3 linked regions of the Elephas maximus indicus genome follow. The protein of the gene in region 2 purifies or fractionates together with the protein of the main gene of each other region. This does not show direct contact. Links are inferred from orthologs where the notes say so. Each region holds a gene or a part of one and is shown on either strand. Other genes may lie near its edges.

Region 1 (7,670 bases), on a different chromosome or scaffold from region 2:
ATGAACAGGCACTCAATCTCTGATCTACGAGGAAAACCCAGAGGAACAGGCGGTGCCAACACAGGATTGTCTTGGCATGAAGCTGTATTTCAGAGTTCAGCAGCCCAGAGCTGACTCTACCCCAAACCTTCCCCACCTCCTGATGCAGAGAGACAGGGGTCCACGAAAGAAAGCAGCCCTGCCTGATTGGTGGAGCTCTGAGACAACACTCTGCCCCACACTTCTGGGTATTACGAACACACCCCATTTGATTAGGAAGTGTAAACTTTATGAGGCCTAATGATTATGAGGCCATAACTTCAAGGTCGAGCTCAATTAAACTCTCCTAGAAGGTGACCTGGGTGGTGCAAATGGTTAAGTGCTTGACTACTAGCCACAAGGCTGACAGTTTGAGTTCACCCAAAGGCACCCTGGCAGACAGGCTTAGTGATCTACTTCTGAAAGGCTAAAACCAAAAAACCAAACCCAGTGCTGTCAAGTCAATTAAGACTCATAGCAACCCTATAGGATAGGGTAGAACTGCCCCACAGTTTCCAAGGAGTGCCTGGTGGATTCGAACTGACAACCCTTTGGTTAGCAGCCATTAACACTTAACCACTATGCCACCAGGGTTTCCTCTGAAAGGTTACAGCCTTGAAAACCCTACGGAGCAGTTTTACTCTGCACATAGAGGGTTGTCTTGTGTCAACTAACAACAACAAAAGAAGACAGAGGGCTGCAGCAGGCTACAAATGCAATGAACAGAAGACTGGGGCAGGAGGGAGGGGTCCTGGGTTCAACGCCCACTTCCAACTCCCTGTACGACCCTGGGCAAGTTTTCTCCTCTCTCTGGGCCTGGTCTCCTTGTCTGTAAATGGAGGAAGCCAGCCTCCTTGGAGCCCTCAAATGTTTGATTGGGTTTTCTGATCAAAAATTAAAAACCAAATAAAAAAATCTAATGCCGGAATCGAGCTCACCAGCGCTCAAGATTAGCACGATATGGGTTGAGATCAAGCCACAGTCTGCCAGGAGTTAAGGCCACTTCCTGGTTTGGAAGGGAGGCAAGGGCCATCCCAGGGTTTGAACTTGGGGTGGGGGAAGTGGGAGGATTCAGATACACCTGTGCCCCAGGGTGAGATGCTGTCCTTGCAGGAGCCATTCTGCTTCTGCTAGGCAGCCCCTGGCAGTGACAACAATCCCTTAGTCATCATATAATTCTGATCCTTGGCCACCAGGACACTGGCCAAGACGAGGGCACTACCCCTCATGAGAAGAAACAGCTGAGAGAAATCAAGTGGCTTATTCAAGGGCAAACAGCAATAGGACACCAGGTCTGATGGCTTCCAGTCTAATTCTCTCTACCTGACACCTGGTAGAATTCTCACCTTCCACGTGGGAGACCTGCGTTCAATTCTCAACCAATACACCTCGTGCACAGCCAGCACCCATCTGTCAGTGGAGGCTTGTGTGTGGCTATGGTGCTGAACAGGTTCCAGCAGAACTTCTAGACTAAGATAAACTAGGAAGAAAGACTTGGTGATCAACTTCTGAAAGTCAGCTGGTGAAAACCCTATGGATCCCAGTGGTCCAATCTGCAACCAATCATCAGAATGGTGCAGGGCGGGGCAGCATTTCATTCCCGCGTGTGTGAGGTCACTGTGGGTTGGGGCTCACTTGACAGCAGCTAACAGCAACAACCTCAGTTTAGTGACTGTCCCCCACATCCCCACTACCATGCAAAGCTACTTCACTTAATCTGTGCTATTCCCAGTAGAACTTTTTAATGTAAGCAATGAAATTTTTGTGGCACAAAGAGAAGCCAGCTTCACTTTGATGGATGTCAGAGCCAAGATGTAACAGGCCGGTTCTGTTCAACCACCACGTGGGCTGGCTCTGTGGAAAAGGCTGTTTCTCAAAGTGACAACTTGTGTCCTGGGCCTTGCAACAGGGCAGTTAGGGCTGTCTGTGGGAGCGGCTGATTTCAGTTTCTCATTGAGGCTTTTACCTGGCATAACCTTGGTGATGACAGGCTCCAGGGCAGCGGCTGTCACTAGCCATTGCTGTCACTCTTGAGGGATGGAAGGCAGGAAAGTAAAAGCTCCTGATTCCCTGTCATCATTCCTTCTAGAGGAAAACTTACCCAAGGAGGATACAGGGTCAGCCCCTGATCTCTCCAAGGTTAGGAACTGGACAGGTGCAGACTGGGGTCCTGTGCCTGTCCTGCAGGTGCATGCTGGCATCTATTTGGCATGGTTGGGCCTGAGTTTTGAAGTCAGACACTTGAGTCCAAATCTCACCCTCATCACGTACCGACTGTGTGACCTTGGGCAAGTCCTATTCTCTCCCTGAGCCTCAAACTCCTCATCCCAGCAGACGGGGCTCTCAACAGCACCTAACCCAGAGGACAGCAGAGAGGGTGATAACGTGCAAAAAGCGCTTGGCAAAGAGTAAATGGTCAATGAAGTCAGCTGACATGGTCCTTTCACTACAGTTAACTTCCTATGCCTCAGTTTCCATTTCTGTAAGATGGGGACCCCCAAAGAACGGCTTCGAGGGCTGCTGCAAGAACTGAACGCAATGACAGGCGCGAAGACCTCAGCCCAGGGCATACACTCCCCGACGAGCGGGCTGAAGATCGGGGCCTCAGTCTCCTCATCTGCAAAATGGGCACTTGGCTCCCCCCACTGCTCCCAGGGCCCGGGAATCCCCGACGGTGGTGGAGGTGGCTGGTCGTCGTCCCAAGGGCCCCCTCGAGCCTCTAAGAACCCCTAGGGCCGTCCGCCCTGATCTCTCCCTCAGTCCCGGCCCCTCAGGCGAGCGCCCGGCCCGAGCCTCCCGTGCCCCCGGCCGCCCTCCGGCCACGCTACCTATGGTGGAGATGAAGGTGGAGTTGAAGGCGTCCTCGGAGAAGCGGAACAGGACACAGGTCTTCCCCACCCCCGAGTCCCCGATCAGCAGCAGCTTGAACAGGTAATCGTAGGTCTTCGCCATATTACACTCTCTCCCCGACGGGAAGTGCGGCCAGCGCCTCGCCACTGGACGCTCGCCCCGTCCATCAGCGCCGAGCCCGCCCCCCATTGGCTGCCGGCCCACCGTACGTCACCGCGGCCGACGCCCGCACCCGCTCTCAGCCCTGCGCGCGGAGACCAGGGAAGGGGCGAACCGAGCACGGAGCCGGAAGCGGCACGAGCGTGCTGCCCATTGGCCTGTGCTCGGGTCAGAGCGGGCTGCGATTGGCTGGCGGTGCGGAGTTGAGGGGCTTCAAATGGGGAACGGGACGTGGGCGTGGCTCCCATGGTCCAGCTTCTTCCCGACTCTGGGGCGGCCCCGCCTCCCTCCCTTATGGGACAGGGAGGGCGGGAATCGTCGCCAACGGCCCCGCGCGCTGGCAGCCCGGGGGCGGGGGCCTGTGGCGCGTGCGTATGCGTGCTGGGAGACCATTAAGAGCCAGCAGAGGGCGCACGCGCGCAAGGGCGTCTGGTCCCGCCCCGACGGCCTGCGCAGCCTCAGCAGGCTTTGGGGCGAGCGCGGGAGGGAACGGTTCGGGGGGCGTCGTCGTCTCGGGAAAGCAGGGAAACAAGGGGCGTACGTCGCAGTCGGAAAGAGGCCCCTGGAGATCCCAGTGCTGGACGAGGAACCTACCTGAGGCTTCCCGGCCTCTGCCACCTCAGTGGCCTCACTGCCCCAAGCTGCGCCCTCAGGGCCCCTGAGGCTTCTCAGGACCAGCCCTCCGACCTAATTGACCTAATTAGAGGTTTCCTGGTGGTCTAGTGGTTAAGTGCTACGGCTGCTAACCAAAGGTCGGCAACCAGGCGCTCCTTGGAAACTCTACGGGGCAGTTCTACTCTGTCCTCTAGGATCGCTAAGAGTCGGAATCTACTCGACGGCAGTCGGTTTGGCTTGGTTTTTGGTCTGGCAACTCTGCCTCGAGGCCTCAGCCTAGACTCGGCCGCCTGTGCCCAGTCAGCTCTCAGAGCTGCACTTGGGGTGCGGGTGGGTGTGGGAGTGTCTCAAGACCCTCAAGGGCATGAAGGATAATTATAGGTAACATTTATGAGCAGTACTTCCGTGCCTAGCAGTGTTCTCAACGCTTTATGTATTTAACCGCCACACCAACCCATAAGGTAGGTATTGTTTATCCACGTTTTATGGTGAGGAAACTGAGGCCAGGGAGGTTAAGTGACTTTCCCAGGGTCCAAAGTGAGAAGTTGGTTTTTGAATGCAGACCTGTAAGACTCAGAGGCCAAACTTTTTTTTACTATTCGTTAAAATAATTTTATTGTGGTGAAAATATAGGTAACAAGACATACACCGTCTCAACAATTTCTACATGTATATCAGTGACATTTGATTATACTCTTTGAGTTGTACAATCATTCTCAATATCCTTTTTCAGGAGGCCAAGGGGGCAAATGGTTGGCAGTTCGAACCCACTCAGTGGTGCCTTTGAAGACAGGCCTGGCAATCTGCTTCCAAAAGGTCGTGGCCTTGAAAACTCTATGGAGCAGTTCTAACTCTGCACACATGCGATCACCATGAGTCGGAATTGACAGCAACCAGCAAGAAGCTCTTGGTCAATATGGTTTCCTGATTCTCAGAGATTGATGGTCCCAACTGCGTGCTTGGGCTCAGGGCCTCACATCACTTGCTGGAGCACACAGAGAAGCCTGGAGACTCGCCTGAGGATTTTCCAGAAGATGGCCCCAGCTTCTCCTACTCCCTTCCACCCCAGCTTATTCATCTGCTAATTAGTTCTGGTCAAGAAACACTTCAGCCAGAGCCATTGACCTTCACAGGCCTTACCCTCTGTGGTATTTTTATACTATTGACCACCTTCCCTCTGGAAATTCTCTTTCTTGACACCTCATTTCTCCTACCACCTACCTCCCTTTCTTGGGTACTGCGTCTCATTCCATTGCAGTCTTTTTTGGAGGTCTCTGCTTGTCCCTGAGCAGTGCAAATGGTGAACATGCTTGGCTGCAAACAAAGTTTAGAGGTTCCATTCCCCCGCTCCAAGGCATCTCAGAAGAAAAGCCTGGTGACCTAGTTCTAAAAAATCAACCATTGAAAACTGTCTGGAGCATAGTTCTATTCTGACACACGTGGAGTTGCCATGAGTCTGAGTTGACTCAATGGCAACTAGCAACTTCTTGTTCCTTAAGTGTCGGTGTTCCACATGGTTCTTTCTGTCCTAAGTCCTTTCTTCCAGTATCTCCACACTATTTCTCGGTTCTTTACCCATAGTCCAGTCATGCTTGCATGTCCGAGTGGGTTTGCCAAAGATAGTTTAAACTTAACATGTCCACAACTGAGCTCATCTTCCACTTAGGTGAGGGCAGTGGTGGTTCAGTGGTAGAATTCTCGCTACGTGGGAGACCCAAATTTGATGCCTGACCAATGCCCCTCAGGTGCAGCCACCACCCATCTGTCAGCGGAGGCTTGCATGTTGCTATGATGCTGAACAGGTTTCAGTGGAGCTTCCAGACTCAGATGGACTAGGAAGAAGTCCTGGTGATCTGCCTCCAAAAATCAGCCCATGAAAATCCTATGGATCACGATGGTCTGATCTGAAACGGATCATGGGGGGTGGCGTAGGACCAGGCGGTGTTTTATTCTGTTGTGCTTGGATCATTGACTTGATGGCAGACAACAACTTCCACTCAGACATGCGTGTCTTGAATTACCTTCTGTGAAACCTAAGTCTCTGACATCTTTCACCCCTTGCATCCTGGAGCTTCTAAATAGCTCTTGAATTTTGCTCTTCCATTTCCATTTGTTACAGTCAGGTCCTTATATTTCTCCACTGGTCTTCCTGCTCATTTTCTCTAATCCAGCCTCCACCCTGTAGAATGTTCACTTTAAAACACTTACCTTATTACATCCATCCCTTGCTTAAAATCCTTCAGAGAGCCCCCAGCAGCATAACACCCCAGTCTTTAACCTAGCGTACACCCCACATAATCTAGTCTTCACCTCACCCTGTGATTCACCGATACCTCATGGGGTTGGGAACTCCCCAAGAGCTGAGCTGAGACAGGTTAAAGAAGCGTGGATCGCTTAAGCCAAGTGCTGAGGCATGAGGATGACCAAAACAGTATCCTGAGATTACAGCCTAAGTGGGTGGCAAGAAGGGAGAAAACAGACACGTAAGGGGTAACTTCAGTCCTAACAATGGTAGCACACATAGAGAAGGGGGTTATACTTTATTCAGTGATATTCCCAGCAAACAAGAGCCTGTTGCCGTCGAGTAGATTCCAGTTTGTGGCAACACCATGAGTGAAACTGAGCTCCATGGCTTTTTTTTTGGTGGTCGTAACCTTTACAGAAGCGGATCACCAGGCCTTCTGTGGCGCTGCTGGGTGGGTTCAAATCACTAGCCTTTTGGTTAGCACCTGAGCACAAACCATCTATCTGTGCCACCCAGGCAACGGACAGTGTTAGATAAATGTCAAATTAATATGTTTTTAATTGTAGTTGTTAACAGAAACCTGTTTGCATATGCACTTAATTTTTTCGTCTTTCACTTCTCTTTTTGATCCCTCCTCCACCTGCCCTCCCCTGAAATAACCCGTTGTGGTTGAGTCAGTTCCTACTCATAGAAACCCTACAGGACAGACTAGAACATGGGGTTTCCAAGGCTGTAAATCTTTAAGGAAGCAGACAGGCTGGTGAGTTCGAACCGCTGATCTTCCAGTAAGCAGCTGAGTGCTTTAACCACTGCACTACCAGGGCTCCTTCCCCCAAAATAAAGGGACTGCAATTCAGGCAGTGAAACTGGAGTCATCTTGGACACTCCAAGTTCCGTCAGCTCACTCTTGAGGTTGCTTCCTTCAGATCGTCTCTTTCCTCCCGTTCCTTGGCAACCACTGTCCTTATCCTGGTCTTCTTGCCTCTAGTCTGCCACACCCTTCCCATTGTTGTTGGGTGTCATGAAGTCAATTCCGACTCATGTCATGGTGACAGAGTAGAACTGCCCCATAGGGTTTTCTTGGCTGTAATCTTTTATGGAAGCAGATTGCCAGGTTTTTTCCTCCTGCGGAGCAGCTGGTTGGATTCGGAGCAGCTGGTTGGATTCGAACCGCCAATCTTTTGTTTAGCAGCTGAGCTGTTTGCATCACTAAGGCTTCTTACCCCCCCTTAAAACCCAAAAAAGCCCCAAACCCGTTGCCTTCAAGAGTCGATTTTGACATCCTTTCTTAAAATGAATGCTAAATGGATTTTCCTAATGCAGTACTTAGTCTTCCGTGGCTCTGCACTCTAGACCAAATTAAGTTAAATCTAGGCTTTCATCAGTCTGGACCCAGCCTATCCAGCTTTCTTATTTCTGCAACACACAGAAGGTCTTAACCAAACAGGTCCTGTGCTTTCCTGACTCAGGTTACGTGGGCCATCTTCCCTGCTCCTATCACCATCTATTAAAATTCTACTCATTCTTGATAGCCTGGTTCAGGCAAGATTGGGGATAACTAAGAACAGGAGCTTTTGTGTTACTGAGACAAAGTGCTCTCATCTGTAATATGAAGAACATAATTGTTGAATCATGAAGTCATGATATAAAGCCAGTAAAATTTGCTAAGTTCTTGGCACAGTTACCTTCCCATCAATTGACCAAATATTGAGAAGCAAAGTTGCTGGTATGGGCCCACACATTCTAAAACTGACACAAGTTGTAGTTTATGTAAAAATTTATT
Region 2 (7,081 bases):
AAAAGCTATGTCCTCACCTTGCAAATCCCTGGGGCAGCTCGCCAAGGCCATAGAGAGGGTATAGATACGGGCTTTTCCCATACCGGGCCAGGGACTCGCTGTACAGCTTGATGCGGTTGATGGTCTCAAGACAGGGCTGGTCCAGGTAGCTGAGGAAGCAGAGAAAGATGCTCAAACAGCAGACCCCCTCCTGCCCGCCACCTCACCCCAACCCAGGCACTGAGCCGGCCTTCCCACCCCCTGGGGAAGAACCATGGGTCACATGCAGAACAACAGTCTGAGTGGGTAGCTGAGCACAGAGGGCATAGAAATCAGGTGTGTGAAGGGCAGTGTTCGAGGAAGGGGACCGCCCCATCCCAGCTTCCCCTCACTCATCAGTGCGATAGAGCGCCAGGGCGTGGCCAGTGAAGTCAATGACGTCCTGGCCCAAGTCAAACTTCCGGTAGACATCGCGCATGCTGGTAGTCTGGGGGTCAACCCCTTCAAAGGTCTTGGGGTCGTTCTCATCAAAGTTTGCCACAAAAACCAGGAACTTGCGGAAGCGCCGTTTCTCAAACATGCCCATCAAATCTGAAGAAAACGTTGTGAGGGGAATCCTGTTGCCACGAAATCATAAACCTCTTCTTCCCACCAGGTTAGAGCAAAAAACCAGGAGCCCAAGCTCCTAGCTGAAGACTGCCACTGACTAGGTTAATCCCGCTGCCTCTCTAGACCTCAGTTTATCCACCTATACAAAGAGGGGGCTGGGCTGCACAGGCTCTAAGGGCCCTTCCAGCTCCAAGGCTTGGGGATGCTTCACAGATCAAGTGGAAACCCTTTCAAAGGTTGAAGTCTTTCAACAGGAGGCCCCATCCACGCCCCTCCATGTCTGGACTTCTACCCTGGCAACAAGCCATGAGGCATGACAGGCGGCACACACGGAATAGAGCAAAGGGCCACTGGTACCGTACGAGAAATAGAAGCCTGGGTAAAGGGGCACCTTGGTCTGGACCTTTCCACCCGTATTAATAAGGGCAGTCTGCCTCCCCCACCTCCCAACTATTCTTTGGCCCAGGGAACTCACTAGAAGCCAAGGCTTCGGTCTCAGTGGATGGCACTTTGTAAATCTTGCCCCCCTTATAGACGAAGCTGCCCTCTACCACTTTAAAATCCAGGTAACGAGTCACCTCTGTGTACAGCAGCATCTTTACCAACTGTCCTGTAGGCAAAGGAGAACAGCAGTATCAGCATGGCCCCCTTCTTCTAACTGGCCTGACTACCCCTTCTCTGGAGCCTGACCTGCTTCTGGTCTTCCCGATCACCCCCCAATACCTTCTTCGTCCCCCTCACCATTGGCCATCAGGAATTTGGGGATCAGGTCAACATTCCAGTCTCGGCCCCGGCCCATCGACTCAGGAGGCCCCTCCAGGAGCTGGAAACGCTTATACAACTGCAAGCAGGACAGGAAGAGATACCTCAGGGCCATCCCCTCCCTCCCCAGCCCCCAGCCCTGCTGCCCAGAGAGAGAACCTGGGGAGCTGCTTCCAGCGCATGAGAAGGTTGATTAAAGGGATGGTAGGTTTCTATTTTTTAGGGGTGGGGCTGAATCTCACCTCCTCCAGGGGCGTGATGGAGGAGCTCTCCCCGCCATAGTATGGGTTCCGGTCCATGTGCAGCACCTTCTTCCCATTCACAGACATGATGCCAGACAAAATACATTCCTAAGGGGAGACGTGACAGTCCCTACATGACTCCCCACCCACACATTCGCAGTAGGAGCCCTGACTGTTCCCCACCCAGGAACTTGAGAAAAGAGCAAATCTAAACAAGGACCCTGTGCCTGTGGACAGCTCCTCCTCACCAGAGCTGGTCACCTAACCTGAAACCGCAGGCCAGAGCTTCACTAGGCTTCTCCTCTATACCCTGCTGAGCCAAGAGATGCACAAGAAAAGAAATAACAGCCGCTTGGAGGCAAAGACCGCTCCGAGCAGCCCACACGCCCAGAAAGCCCCCGTCGACGTAGGGGCCCTAGGGCCGCGGAAAAGGCGGCTAAGACACAATGAGTCCGAGGAGCGCTGCTAGAACTCTAGGCCCCAGGGCAGACCCGGCGGCGGCAATCCGCCCGCCCGCCCGCCCCGGACCGCGCCTCCTCCGAAGGTTCGGACGACCCTAAGCCTTCGCGGCCACATCTGCGGACGTTGTCCAGCTGGGTCGAGGCTACGGGGAAGAAGCCCTAGTCGGTGTCACCAACCCAAGGACAAAGGCTGCGGATCTGACTCAGCCCGCGGTCGCCATGGGGAACTGCGGTGGGGGAGCGGAATGTGCTCAACGGCCCCACTGCTGCTGCTTCTGGAACATTCACTGGGTCCCCCGGCCCCAGAAGCAGCTGGGGAGACGGGATGAGGGCCTACCCTAGCGAGACACCGTGAATCGAGATGGACACCTCATCCTTCATCGGATTAGCGCAGATAGGGGGCCGCTGTGCGGGCGATAGGGGGCCGGTGGGCGGGGTCGGAGCATCGGGGCGTCGCCCAAGCAGGGTGCGTTTCCCGGCCCAGCAGGCTGGATGAGAGGGTCGTGGAGGGGGGGAGAGGTCCGGGCCCGAGATCGCGGGGGGCGATTGGGAGGGGCACCCCGCTGAGACGGGGACGCGGCAGCGGGTAGAGGTGAGGTCGGGTGGGGATGGCAGCGGAGGCTGTTTTTTCGGGGGACAAGAAGCGCCGGGGGCATCCGGCGCTGGGGCTGAGGGGCTGAAGGGCTGAGGGTACGGGAGAGGACGGGAGGTCGGGCCGGCGTCGTTTGGGAAGTGCATCATCGCGGGGATAGGTGGTCGCGAAGTGGGGCCACGGGCCACCGATGCCGCGAGGGCGGACTCACGGTGAGGCCGGTCCCCAGCACGATCACATCATATTCCTCGTCCATGGTTCAGTCCTCGATGCCAGCGCCAGCTCCGGCTCCTCCTCCACCTCCTTCACCACAGCCGCCGCCGCAGCCGCCGCCGCCGCACTGGACCAAAGATGGCGGCACGACGCTCAGACGTCCGACGCCTCCGCCGCGTCAAAGAGTCCCGGCTCCTCCCCGCCCCCCGCCGCTCTCAGGCGCCGCGCAGCCTCAGCAGCACGCGTCCCAGTAGGGCGGCTGGGGCCCGGGCTCGAGCACCAGCGCAGCTCTCCCAGCTGCCTGTTTCTGCGGCTGCTGAAGAGTGGGGAGGGGCGGGCTGGGTGGTCGGCGCAGGAGGGGGCGGTCGGTTCTGCGGCCCCGCGAGGAATCCGTCCGCGGGAGCCGCGCGCGCCCCGCCCCGCCCCGCCCCGCCCCGCCCCCCGGGATGCTGGAGCGCGCGCAGCGGCCACGCACTGCTGCGGAGGGCCGGGGGCGGCGTGTTGGGACTGGCGGCGCGGGGCGGCCGACCGCGCCCTCCAGCCCTCCGGGCGGTCCTCCTCGGAAGCCCCGAGTATCTTTTATCATGGCGGCCTCTCCCCCCAGGAGCTGCACGTACCGTGACTCAGCACCGCCCCGACCCTCGTCGCCCCGGCACGGACCCCCATTCCTGCTGAACCGTTGAGGGCCTAGCTGGCAAAAGCCTCTCCCAGCTTCTGGAGGTGCTGCCAGCTGGACCCCCGCAAGGCCGCTGCACCCCTTGGCGGGCTCGGCTACATCCAGGCCCTTCCTCCCGCCTCTCTTCTGTCCGTGGAGAAATGAGGAACCAGAGGCCCAACGCATGGCAACCCGTTTTTATTTATCAGTAAAGAAAATAACTGAGTGCCCCAGGCTGCTGCCAGGCCCTCCTGGTGGGAAAATGCTAGAAATTCAGGGATCACACTGAACCCACCTGCCATGGAGGTCCCTTCCTTCTCAGACCACAAAAATAAATCCCACTGTACTGGGTGTTTTGTTTGGGTACTGCTGCTTTTTAGCACGACATCATCAAAAAAGATCAAACAACGACAGCTAAGCAGGACACACAGTTAAATACTACTTCTATACTCCCCAAACTCGGGGACTGTCAAGCTGCAGGCTGCTGCAGGAAGCCCTGTCAAGCTTGGGGAGGGGGCATGTGCCGCACACAAGCACTGTAAACAGTAAGCGGCGATGTTGGAGAGAGGAGAAAAAGGGGGAGAAGCAGTCCCTAGAATTAACGTTCCCTCTCCCTCACCTCGACTGAGCCTGGAAGATTTGTCTACTTACTACCTATGCAGAATGTACATACATCTTGTTGGGAGACACAGGGGGGCCCCCCAGGATGGAAAGGGAAGGGAGCCAGGGTGAGGGACCTTGGGGTTTCATGCTATGGCAGCCCTCCAGTCTGGCGTGACCAGAGGTGGAAAAGTGACGACCAGGACACTGCCACGCCCCTCGGCCCCCCAGCAGCGCAGGGTGGTCACACTATCTGGGTCAGAGAGATGGCAGGGCCCTTGTGGTCATCAAAGCGGTCCATAGTCTTGAGGCTGAGGATCATGTGCAGGCCATAGGTGAAGATGAAGAGCATGAAGAGGGAGGTGAGCAGCCCCATCCAGATGCCCGGGGAGAAGAAGCCGGCACAGTCGCTGGCGTAGGAGAAATGCTCGCCCGTCACATTGAAGGCCTGGATCTGGGGCCAGACAAGACACAATTGGTGGGACCTCATGGCCCCCTGCAGTGAGGATGTCCAGCAAGGGCTGAGATCCCCCAGGTGGTGGACATTCTGAGTCTCCCAGGGCCAGGGGCACTGTGGGAACAGGACTCTCAACTACAGGAGCCCAGATGAGGCCACTGAAGACTCTTGAGGCCTCTCTCCTCCCCCTACTCATACCGTAGCTCCCCTCGCCATACCTGGAAGTCCTGGAGCGTCATCTGCCAGAGAGAGGGTTGTATTTGGGGCACAAGGAGATTGCCATTCTTGGTGAGGCTGCTGACATACTGGCAGTGGAAGGAGTAGATGCTGGGCCCAGTGACCTGGGAGGCGTTAAAGTAGGTGACAGAGCCATTGCTGTGGATTTCAAGGCGCTCCATGGTAAACCAGTGCCGGGCAGACACTGGGTAGAAGCGGTTAGCCAAAATGAACCTAGGGGTGGGCAACACAAGTGGTCAGGCATGTGGGGGAAGCCAGAGCCACACCCAGCCTGCCCCACCTTGGCGGCCCCAGAACTCACTTGAATGTCACTCTGGTACCAAAGAGTTGCTCGTAGGTCAGTGTGAGTCTGTGGGGTCAGAGGAAAAGGCCGTGAGTGGCTTCAAGGACCGAGTTTCTCACGTCTACCCCTACTTAGCCTGCCCCCAGGTCTTCATGACAACTGAGGATGTAGTGCTCCCTCTTTACAGATGGGAAAACTGAGGCCCAGAGAGGAGAGTGTTTCCCCCAGTCACATTTCAACTCAGGAATGAGCTAGAAGCCAGGTCTTCCGGCTATAACTCAAGGCTCATTCCTCTGGTTCCTAGAGTCCACTGCCTCTTCTTTCAATTCCACGTGGGGTTGCAGTGATACATGGGTTGGGTTTTTGGGGGTGAGGGCAAATGGAGGAGTAGCAGTCTCCCTGGCCACACAGCAAGGGCACAGGAGCCCCACAGCTGGCTCAGGAAGCTGGCCTAGTATTTGCCCTATGTTCAGTCCAGGAGATTCCGCTCTAGGGGACGCACCAAGTTCCCAGGTGACCATGAGGCGTTAACGACAAAGGCCCCAACCAAGGCCCAGAAAGCATGATGGAGGCAGAACTCTGAGCAACTCCCCCTCCAACAGCCCCCACCCCATGATACTACCCACACCCCACAGTGACCACACCCTACAAGGCCATGCCATCCCCACGTCCGGCTGCCTCCCCGCCAGCGGCCCTGACCCACGGAGGCAGAACATCACCTCTATGGCCAAGCTCCTCCCCAGCCCGAATGTCCTCACCCAGCGGCAGAGTTGTTCCAGAACGAGCCAGTAAGGTTGAGTTCCTGGGCCCCAAAAGTGAGGGAGGTCAGGTCCTCCCACTGGTCCTTATAAGCCACAGAGAAGTTCTGGGCCCAGAGTAGGATTCGGGGGGCTGTGTCATTGTAGCTCACAGGGGGGTGAGGCACATCCGTCTCTGTCGTTTTTTCTAGCAGCTGTCGACCCAGACCCCCAGACACCATGGCTGCATCCCGGGCCACCTGTGGAGACAGCCAATGAGCCTTCTCACCACCACCCTGGACCCAAGCCCTAAACCAGCTGCCCTGCCCCCAGGAAGGCAATCCTCTTCACCACACCAACACCCACTGGCCAGACTCAGAGCCCTTCCTTCAAGAAGCCCTCCCCAGCCAGCCTGCACCCTGTATTATCTTCCTAATTCCTTAATCTCAGGAACCACTTTGACTAATTTTCACATACACCAACCCATGAGCTCACAGGGCAAGATTATCACCTGCTGCCTGGAGGGAGGAAGCTCAGGCCCTCCATACAGAGCCGCCCCATGTCAACGTCCTCAGCCCACAGCGGCCCTGCCTGTGGCCCGCCACCCCTCACCTCCCAAGGCACCCTGCGGGGAAGGGCACGTACCCTGGAAGGGCGGACTGCTGTGAGGGCTGCGGTGTACGGGACATCCTCGGACTTCAGTGTGCTCAGTACCTGCCCGATGACCTCGTCTAAGCAAATGGGGAGAGCAAAGAGCCGGGTCACGTGCTGATGACGCACAACTGGATCACCTGGTTGAGGTGGGGACTGCCAAATGTCCCCGTTGTGAAGCACCACCACCACAACTGGCTCGTCACCTGTGGTGTGGTGCTTTAACACCCTTGCCAGAGCCAGTTCCGCATCAACCTTTCACCAGATGTTTTTAGTAGCTGTTGATGAGCCCAGACTAACAGCAGCTGTTTCTCATCCCGCCCTCCATCCAGCCTCCCTTGGGCCCTGGGAGCCTTGATTATCGATTTCCTAATGACAAGGTGTAACAAAGAGAAATGAAAAAATACAAACAGACAGGGATATAAATATACAGACATATGGGCATGGATATAGAATATGATACGGATACAGATATAGAAATGCAGATATAAATATGTAGAGATATGACCATAGTTACAGACCCCGCCACATACATTCACGTAAGACTCCCAAGGAGGCCCTGGATGGTGCAAACAGTTAAGCGCCTGGCTGCTAACCAAAAGG
Region 3 (7,790 bases), on a different chromosome or scaffold from region 2:
GAGCTGTGACAAAGCTGAGTTTCAAACCCAGGCAACTCCAGAGGTGGCTCGGGGTTCACATTGTAGAGCTAGAGGACTTGAGTTAAAATAGTTTTGAGAACTAGCTTGGAAATCTCTGAAAACAGATCCTGGCACTCCAAAAGAGCTCAAAATATGTTAATTTTGAAAGCCTCTGTTAAATGGTGCATGTTTTTCATTAATTTGGAGTAACATATTTTAAGGCCCCAGGTTTGTGTGTCTAGTGGCTAAGAGACTTAAAACTGTTTTCTCATCTGCTCAAGAACATCATACGAAAAAAACGTTAACAGTGGTTCTCTTTGTGGTGGGATTAGTGTTTTATTTACTATACTTTTCTACAGTGTCATTAACGATAAATCTCATTATTTTCTATTAAACAACACATTTGAAAAAATTAACCTGGGTGGTAAGTTTCCACGTCTTCTCTTATCATTATCTAATGTCAACTTTCGATCTCAAAAAGAATAAGTAAATATTTGAAGAATCCATTCCATTTTTTCAATCTAATCAGAAAGCTATCGTAACAGTTTTCTCCCATCTTTAATCAAGATCTGACTGCGTGCTTGCCAATAAAATATACGAAACCTGAAGATGAATCTCTCCCTAAAAAGTTCTTTTCTATTTTATTTAGTCACCCCATATAGAAAATTTGCTTTTCCATAAAACTTGTGTTTATATAAGGAACATTTTTGATAATGAAATCATTAATAAACATAGCCAGGAGGATCAAGACAATAAAATCACCTATCCAACAGCTCTGAAGAGCTCTTACCTTTATCAATACTGTATCTTTTTCTTTAACCAGCACTAAAATATTTACAGATGAAATGATATGCTGTCTGAGAGTTGCTTTCAAACAATGGGGGCATAAATAAACCAAGTTGGCCATAACACAACTGAGGCTGGTGATGGGTTCATTATACTATTCTCCCTACTTTTGAATATTTTAAAAATTTTTCATAATTAAAAAAAAAAATGTTCTACCTTAAACACATTAGACTGAGGGTCAAATCTCGGTTATACCGACTCCTGCCTAGGTTCTTTAATTTCTGTAAAACGTAATGTGTAGAGCTGTTGTGAAAATTAAATGAGACGACACATGAAATGAATCTCTAACACAATGCCCAAAACACAGTAGGGCCTGAAAACTGGCAATTCAAGTGGCCATCTGAAGAGAAGATTAAATGTCCTTCAGACTGAAAATGAACCAACACACCTTGAAATAATATTACACACAACAGCAGCTGAAACATTCTCCAATTGTTTGTTACATGTTATCTACAAAACAGCAAACAATTAGTTATCAAGGACAACATGCTAGGATTTTGATGGTATTTCTAAAATTTCGGGGAAAACATCAGATTCCCGTGAAAACCGAGAATCTGATCTAGCTTTGCCTTGCAAGGGTTAAAGTTACTGGGTTATATTTCTCCAAGGGTCTCAAACAGGAAATAGCAAACTAAATCGAATTGCCAACACACAGTTCGCATAACATTAAGGTTAAAAAATACTTTATGTGCATTCATTTGTATTCACTACTTGCTGGAACTTTCGTCTGTACGGCAAAACAAGGATTTTGCATAATAACGTATTTTTAAACCTTTTGAAAATAACCAGTACTCTATAACTAAAGTCCTTCTAGGTGCTCTTTGATCAAATTTTTACTAATAACAGCTAACATACTGGGCACTTCTTTTGTCCAGGCACTGTTCTATGTACTTTAACCACGACAACCCGATGAGCTCATATTATTTATCCCCATTTTAAAGTTTCTGAACCGTCCTGAATATTCCCATAAGTGTTTTTTTCTTTATTACGAGAAAAGCAACTAACTCAACACTTAGGCTCCACTTAAGCAAAACACAAAAGCCAAATAGATGGATTATGATGTTCTCAGCTTAACGAGTCTAAAAGTCACGGGCGGGGGGAGGTGGAGGGGTAACGAGTTTCCAGGGAAAAAAACACCCGAGCAGACTTCACGGTCTCTATTTGCCGAGGGGGTCCAGAGGTCTGGTTATCTTGAGTTTCTTTAAAACTGTGGATTACCATCCTCCATGGATGACACACGACTCTCTAGACAGCCTATTTTGAAAAGCCTCCCCACCCCACCTCCACGATCACCCGTCTTTGGAAGTAGAAGGTAGGCGGAGCTCCCCCCAGTTCACACCTGCCGTAGGCCCCGGCTCCTCCTAGTAGTGTACCCCAGTAGTTGCTGGCCAACTCCAGATCGCCGGGATACGCAAGACCAGCAAGGCCCCTTGGCAATCTTTCGCAGCTTCCTCCCGAGAACCCAGCCTGGCTTTGCCCGGGACCCCCAAGACGGCCACGGCAGGCGCCAGGCGGAGCCGCGGCCTCCAGTACTCTTCCCACGTCGCCATCTTGAGAAGGGAGAGGGTGACACCCGTCCCTCCCACAGCCAGTCCCCAAATCCCGGTCAGTAAAGCCCCCTGACGGATGAGTCACCAGGGCCGACTGGACCGGCCACCGGGTTCGACGACGCTCTGGCCCACAGCAACGGCACGCGTGAGGAGTAAGGGCGGGGGCTCGCTGCCGGCAGGGGTGCAGGCAGGCTGGGGGCCGCGGGTAACCTGGGGTCTGGGCCCCATCTGGCAGGGGGAGGGGCCGGTTGGGTTACCTGCGACCGCAGCGCGCGGGGTTGCGGGGCCAAAGCTTCCCGGCAGCAGATCCCAAGCCCGAAGGATGAAACTGAGGCTGAGGCTGTGGCTTAGGCGGCGGCAGCGTCTCCTCCTTGCGCCGCTCCCCTCAGACTGGACGGTGCTGGGCTCGTGCCGCTGGTGCCGCCCCCGTCGGACTCCGTCTCCGCCTCTCCCCGCTCCGCCTTCCTCTTTCCTTTCTCCTCCTCCGTCGCCGCCGGCGCTCTGGGTCCGACCACTTCTTCCTCCTCCTCCCTCCTCCGCCTCCTCCCCTTAGGCCGGCCGCCGGCTTCTTCACAAACCAAAACACAAACACTCAAGTCCCAGCGCGGGAGCCACTTCCGCCAACCCCGCCGCCACGTCGCTGCACGTAGCGAACTACGCCCTTTCGTCACTTCCTGTCGTAGCCAGTCCGACCGCTCTATCCACTTCCCCGCCCCCTCTCAGGCCCCGCCCACCCCGGGAGCACGTTCGCGGGATGGGCGTGTCACGTGATGCCCGCGAGCGGCCGGGTCGGGTCGGGCTGCCTGCTGCCCTGCCCCATCACAGGCGCGCGCGGCCCCGCCCTCGCTGGCGCCTTTGTTATCAGAGCCCGGGGCCCTGGGGCTCCCGGCGTGGGCGGAGCATACTCGCTACTGCCTGGTTTGGGGGTAAGACCTGAAGAGCTAAATTTGTTACTCCGAGCCCTTTTGGGCGGCGAGGTTCCCTCTGGGAATATTAGCTCACAGCCCCCCTCTCCCCACACCGGAACACCTCAATCTTGGGCAACTAGGCTAAGGGGCTTTTTGCTCTACTGCCCCCCATGTCACGTGCTTTCCAGGAATTATCCCATTTCTTAAACTCCTAGGTATTCATTTTGAAACTAACGTGTTTCTCCTTTGGCTTCCTACATTAAAATAGTAACCCCCAGAGTGGCCCTCAACGCTGTAAACCTGGTGTCTAGCCCAGTGCCTGGAACCCACTTATCTTCAGTCATGGTTATGGAATGAATGAATGAGGCGTGCCTGCTTTACAGGTAAAGAATTTGAGGCATAGAGATTGAGTAACTTGTCCAAAGTAACTGCCTAGTTAGTGATGAAATTGTTTTTCTAACCTACTTTTTTTTTTTTTTTACTAGCTGGCTCCAGGACCCGAGTTCTTAAACAGACATTCCACTGAAAGCCAGCTCAAGACTTTGATTACCCTCTACAGCAGACCTACTGAAGGCATACTTCTTCAGTAAAATCCCACACAATAGATAGTCTCTGCAAGACACCTGTATCCAAACAAAATCCTTTTAGCAATTCAGAGGAAGAATGTTAAATTGATTTTCCCTCAGAATGAGGACCATTTTTCAGTTTACAATTTATAGCCTGTTGAAGGGACATGATATTGTCTTTGAAGTATATCAGAGCAAGGCATCCTGTGGGTACTCTGCCAACATAATGCAGTAGAAATGATCTGAACCCTTAAGCACGCATTCATTCAGATCAACTGCCCAATAACTAACCAGAAGAGCGTAACGTGTCATACCTAAATGGTATCTGTGGCACTTTATCCTCGAGGGGTTGTTCCAATATAATATTAGTCATGGTAATACCTCTTGGACAATCCCAGGAAGAATAAGGAAAGAGGATACCTCACATTAGTTTTGGCACGTAAATAGCACGTCCAAAAAAAAAAAAAACCCCAGAACAGACAACCAAAGCTATTCTGCTCAAACCTGCTTCTGCTTTGTGACTGGTGTTAACAGGTTCTCAGTCCCCCCCTCTCTTGAAACTAAAGAATCATCAATTCTTCCTTCTCTTCTTCATAAACCATTGTCCACTCTGTTGCTAAAAATTCTCTAGTCTCAAAATTTGAGCTATAATCCCAAAGCCAGAGCCCTGGCAGTGCAGTGGCTTAAAAGCTCGGCTGCCAGCCAAAAGGTCAGCAGTTCAAATCCACTAGCCACTCCTTGGAAGCCCTATCGGGGCAGTTCTCCTGTAGGGTTGCTATGAATAGGAATTGACTCGATGGGCAACGGTTTGTGTTTTTTTAATCCCAAAGCCTGGGCCATGGTAGTATTCATAAAAGCTAGAATTAATGCACGTTCTTGCCTTTTGAAGGAGCCCTGGTGGCACAATGGTTAAATGCTCGGCTGCTAACTGAAAGGTTGGTGCTTTGACCCCACCAGCCGCTCAGCAGGAGAAAAGACCTGGCTGTCTGCTCCCGTGAGGATTACAGTGTAGGAAGCCCTATGGAGCAGTTGTGTTCTGCCATATAGAGTCACTCTGAGTCAGAATCAACTAGATGGCAGAAACAGCTTGCCTTTTTAATCTACTCTTCACACTTTAGCCACTCTCCTCTTCAAAAATGTTCAATGATATCTCATTGCTTAATAGAGTCCAAAATTCTTTAGCTCTAGTCCCAACTCACCTTCTTACATCCCCTAACCACCCTATGCTCCTCCATGCTAACCGGAAAAGCATGATGCGTCATACCTACATGTTCCCATCTTGGCATCTTACTTTGTTCTCTCCACCTGAACACCATTACCTGGCCCATCGTTGCCAGGCTCACCTCAGTTGGGATGCCAACTTCTAGACAGCGTCTATGTATACTTCTCCCAGATTTAATTATCGTTTTCTTTCCTCTGTGGTTTCCCAGTACTTTGCTTTACTCTCTATAATGGTTCTTCTAACATCCTGCCTCAGAAAGTTCCTAGACTTTTCTCCTCAGCCCTTCAGTCTTCTTAGGATTACAAAGTTCAGTTTCTCACAGAGCTTAAGAGGATCTTCACTATGATACCCAAACCCAAACTCATTGCTGCCAAATAGATTCCGATTCATAGCCACCCTATAGGATGGAATAGAACTGCCCCATGAGATTTCCAAGGCTGTTTTTTTAATCATTACAGAAGGAACCCTGGTGGTGCAGTGGTTAAAGCGCTTGGCTGCTAACCAGAAGGTCAGCGATTTGAACCCAGTAGCCACTCTGTGGGAGAAAGATTTGGCAGTCTGCTTCTGTAAAGATTTACAGTCTTAGAAACCCTGTGGGGCAGTTCTACTCTGCCCTGTAGGGTCGATATGAGTTAGAATTGACTGAGTGACAGTGAGTTTGGTTTTTGGAATCTTTACAAAACCAGAGTGCCACATCTGTCTCCCACAGAGTGATGGGTGAGTTTGAACCATCAACCATTCAATTAACAGCCAAGCTCTTAATCATTGTGCCACCATGGCTCCTTACCCTTGGGTTACACATGTTGCTGTTGAGTCAATTCTGACTCATAGCGACCCTATAGGACAGAGTAGAACTGCCCCATAGGGTTTCCAGGGAGCACCTGGTAGATTCGAGCTGCCGACCTATTGGTTAGCAGTGGAACTCTTAAACACAATTGCTTTGCAAACTGCTTGAATCACTGAGGAGCTGTTCCAGGTATTCATGTTCCCTGGATCCAAATTAGTTCCTTTCATGTTGCAGGTTTTCAACAAACATTGGTTGAATGAATAATTGCACAACAGGAGGTTACTCCTAACTTGCTGTTGGATATTGAGTAGCTTTTTTTTTTTAAAGCGAACTGAAGAAATGATAAAGTAAAAGAGCTGAACAGAAGATTTCAAAGGACTTCTCAAGAAGATGAAGTAAAGTATTATAGTGAAATCTGCAAAGACCTGGAGTTAGAAAACCAAAAAGGAAGAACATGCTTGGCATTTTTTAAGCTGAAAGAACTGAAGAAAAAAATTTGAGCTTGGAGTTGCAATAATGAAGGATTCTGTGGGGAAAATTTCCAGAGGTAGCATATGCTCAAGAGCTGATGGTACTGAAGGAGGAAGTCCAAGCTGCATTGAAGGGAATGAGAAAAAAACAACGGTCCAGGAATTGACAGACTACCAAGTAAGATGTTTCAACAAATGGTTGCAACACTGGAGGTACTCACTCATTTGTATCAAGAAATTTGGAAGACAGCTTCCTGGTCAACTAACTGGAAGAGATCCATATTTGTGCCCATTACAAAAAAAGGTGCTCCAATAGAAGGCGGAAATTATCAAACAATATCATTAATATCACACACACACAAGAAAAACAAAAACCTGTTGCTGTCGAGTCGATTACAACTCATAGTGACCCTATAGGACAGAGTAGAACTGTCCCATAGGGTTTCCAAAGAGCAGCTGGTGGATTCAAACTACTGACCTTTTGGTTAGCAGCTGAAAGCTTAACGACTGCGCCACCAGGGAACTTGGGTGGCACAGGGGTTAAAGTGATTATCTCTGCAAACCGACAAGTCAACGGTTAGAAACCACCAGCAGCTCTGCAGGAGAAAGATGTGGCAGTCTGCTTTCGTAGAGATTTACAGCCTTGGAAACCTTATGGAATTGCTACGAGTCAGAATCGACTCAACAGCAGGGTGGAGATGGGGGGGCGGGGAATAATATCACACAGAAGTAAAATTTTGCTGAAGATCTTTCAAAAGCAATCGCAACAGTACATCGACAGGGAACTGTCAGAAGTTCAAGCCGGATTCTGAAGAGGGCATGGAACGCAGGGTGTCATTGCTGGTGTCAGGTGGATCTTGACTGAAAGGAGAGAATACCAGAAAGCTGTTTACCTGTGTTTTGTTGACTATGCAAAGGCATTCGACTGTATGGATCATAACAAATTATGGATAACACTGTGAAGAATGGGAATTCTAGAATGTTTAATTGTACTCACGCAGAACCCATACATAGACCAAGAGGCAGTTGTTCAAAGAGAGCTAGGGAATGCTGCGTGGCTTAAAGTCAGGAAAGGTGTGCGTCAGTGTTGTATCCTTTTGCCATACTTATTCAATCTGTATGCTGAGCAAATAACCTGAGAACCTGAATTGTATGTAGAAGAATGCTGCATCAGGATTGGTGAAAGACTCATTAACAACCTGCAGTACGCAGATGACACAACTTTGCTTGCTGAAAGTGAAGAGAATTTGAAGCACTTACTGATGAAAATCAAAGACTACAGTCTTTAGTATGGATTGCACCTCATCATAAAGAAAATAAAAATCCTCACAACTGGACCAGTAAGCCACATCATGATAAACGGAGAAAAGATTGAAGTTGTCAAGGATTTCATTTTACTTGGATCCACAATCAACTCCCATGAAGTAGCAGTCGGGAAATC

Evidence for each region. Proteins that work in one complex are often made in the same cells at the same time.
Region 1: the proteins of GDI1 (region 2) and RAB8A purify together in Homo sapiens (co-immunoprecipitation; 6 studies listed by BioGRID and IntAct, counting the BioPlex papers as one, with this or other methods). This does not show direct contact. The link is inferred for Elephas maximus indicus from reciprocal best matches to the Homo sapiens genes GDI1 and RAB8A.
Region 3: the proteins of GDI1 (region 2) and RAB5A purify together in Homo sapiens (affinity purification with mass spectrometry; 3 studies listed by BioGRID and IntAct, counting the BioPlex papers as one, with this or other methods). This does not show direct contact. The link is inferred for Elephas maximus indicus from reciprocal best matches to the Homo sapiens genes GDI1 and RAB5A.

The regions. Positions count from the first base shown.
Region 1 is NC_064821.1:36,342,957-36,350,626, reverse strand, and holds the start of RAB8A (ras-related protein Rab-8A), read right to left. Parts: upstream 3,005-7,670; 5' UTR 2,971-3,004; coding exon 2,847-2,970; intron 1-2,846. UniProt on the Homo sapiens protein: The small GTPases Rab are key regulators of intracellular membrane trafficking, from the formation of transport vesicles to their fusion with membranes.
Region 2 is NC_064846.1:2,006,387-2,013,467, forward strand, and holds the start of GDI1 (rab GDP dissociation inhibitor alpha), read right to left. Parts: upstream 3,014-7,081; 5' UTR 2,902-3,013; coding exon 2,857-2,901; intron 1,701-2,856; coding exon 1,593-1,700; intron 1,430-1,592; coding exon 1,330-1,429; intron 1,199-1,329; coding exon 1,064-1,198; intron 571-1,063; coding exon 372-570; intron 150-371; coding exon 18-149; intron 1-17. Other genes in the region: ATP6AP1 (V-type proton ATPase subunit S1), read right to left, coding at 4,358-4,567, 4,789-5,020, 5,109-5,156, 5,849-6,087, 6,473-6,558. UniProt on the Homo sapiens protein: Regulates the GDP/GTP exchange reaction of most Rab proteins by inhibiting the dissociation of GDP from them, and the subsequent binding of GTP to them. Promotes the dissociation of GDP-bound Rab proteins from the membrane and inhibits their activation.
Region 3 is NC_064845.1:19,813,868-19,821,657, forward strand, and holds the start of RAB5A (ras-related protein Rab-5A), read right to left. Parts: upstream 3,005-7,790; 5' UTR 2,654-3,004; intron 2,549-2,653; exon of another isoform or gene 2,205-2,548; intron 1-2,204. UniProt on the Homo sapiens protein: The small GTPases Rab are key regulators of intracellular membrane trafficking, from the formation of transport vesicles to their fusion with membranes.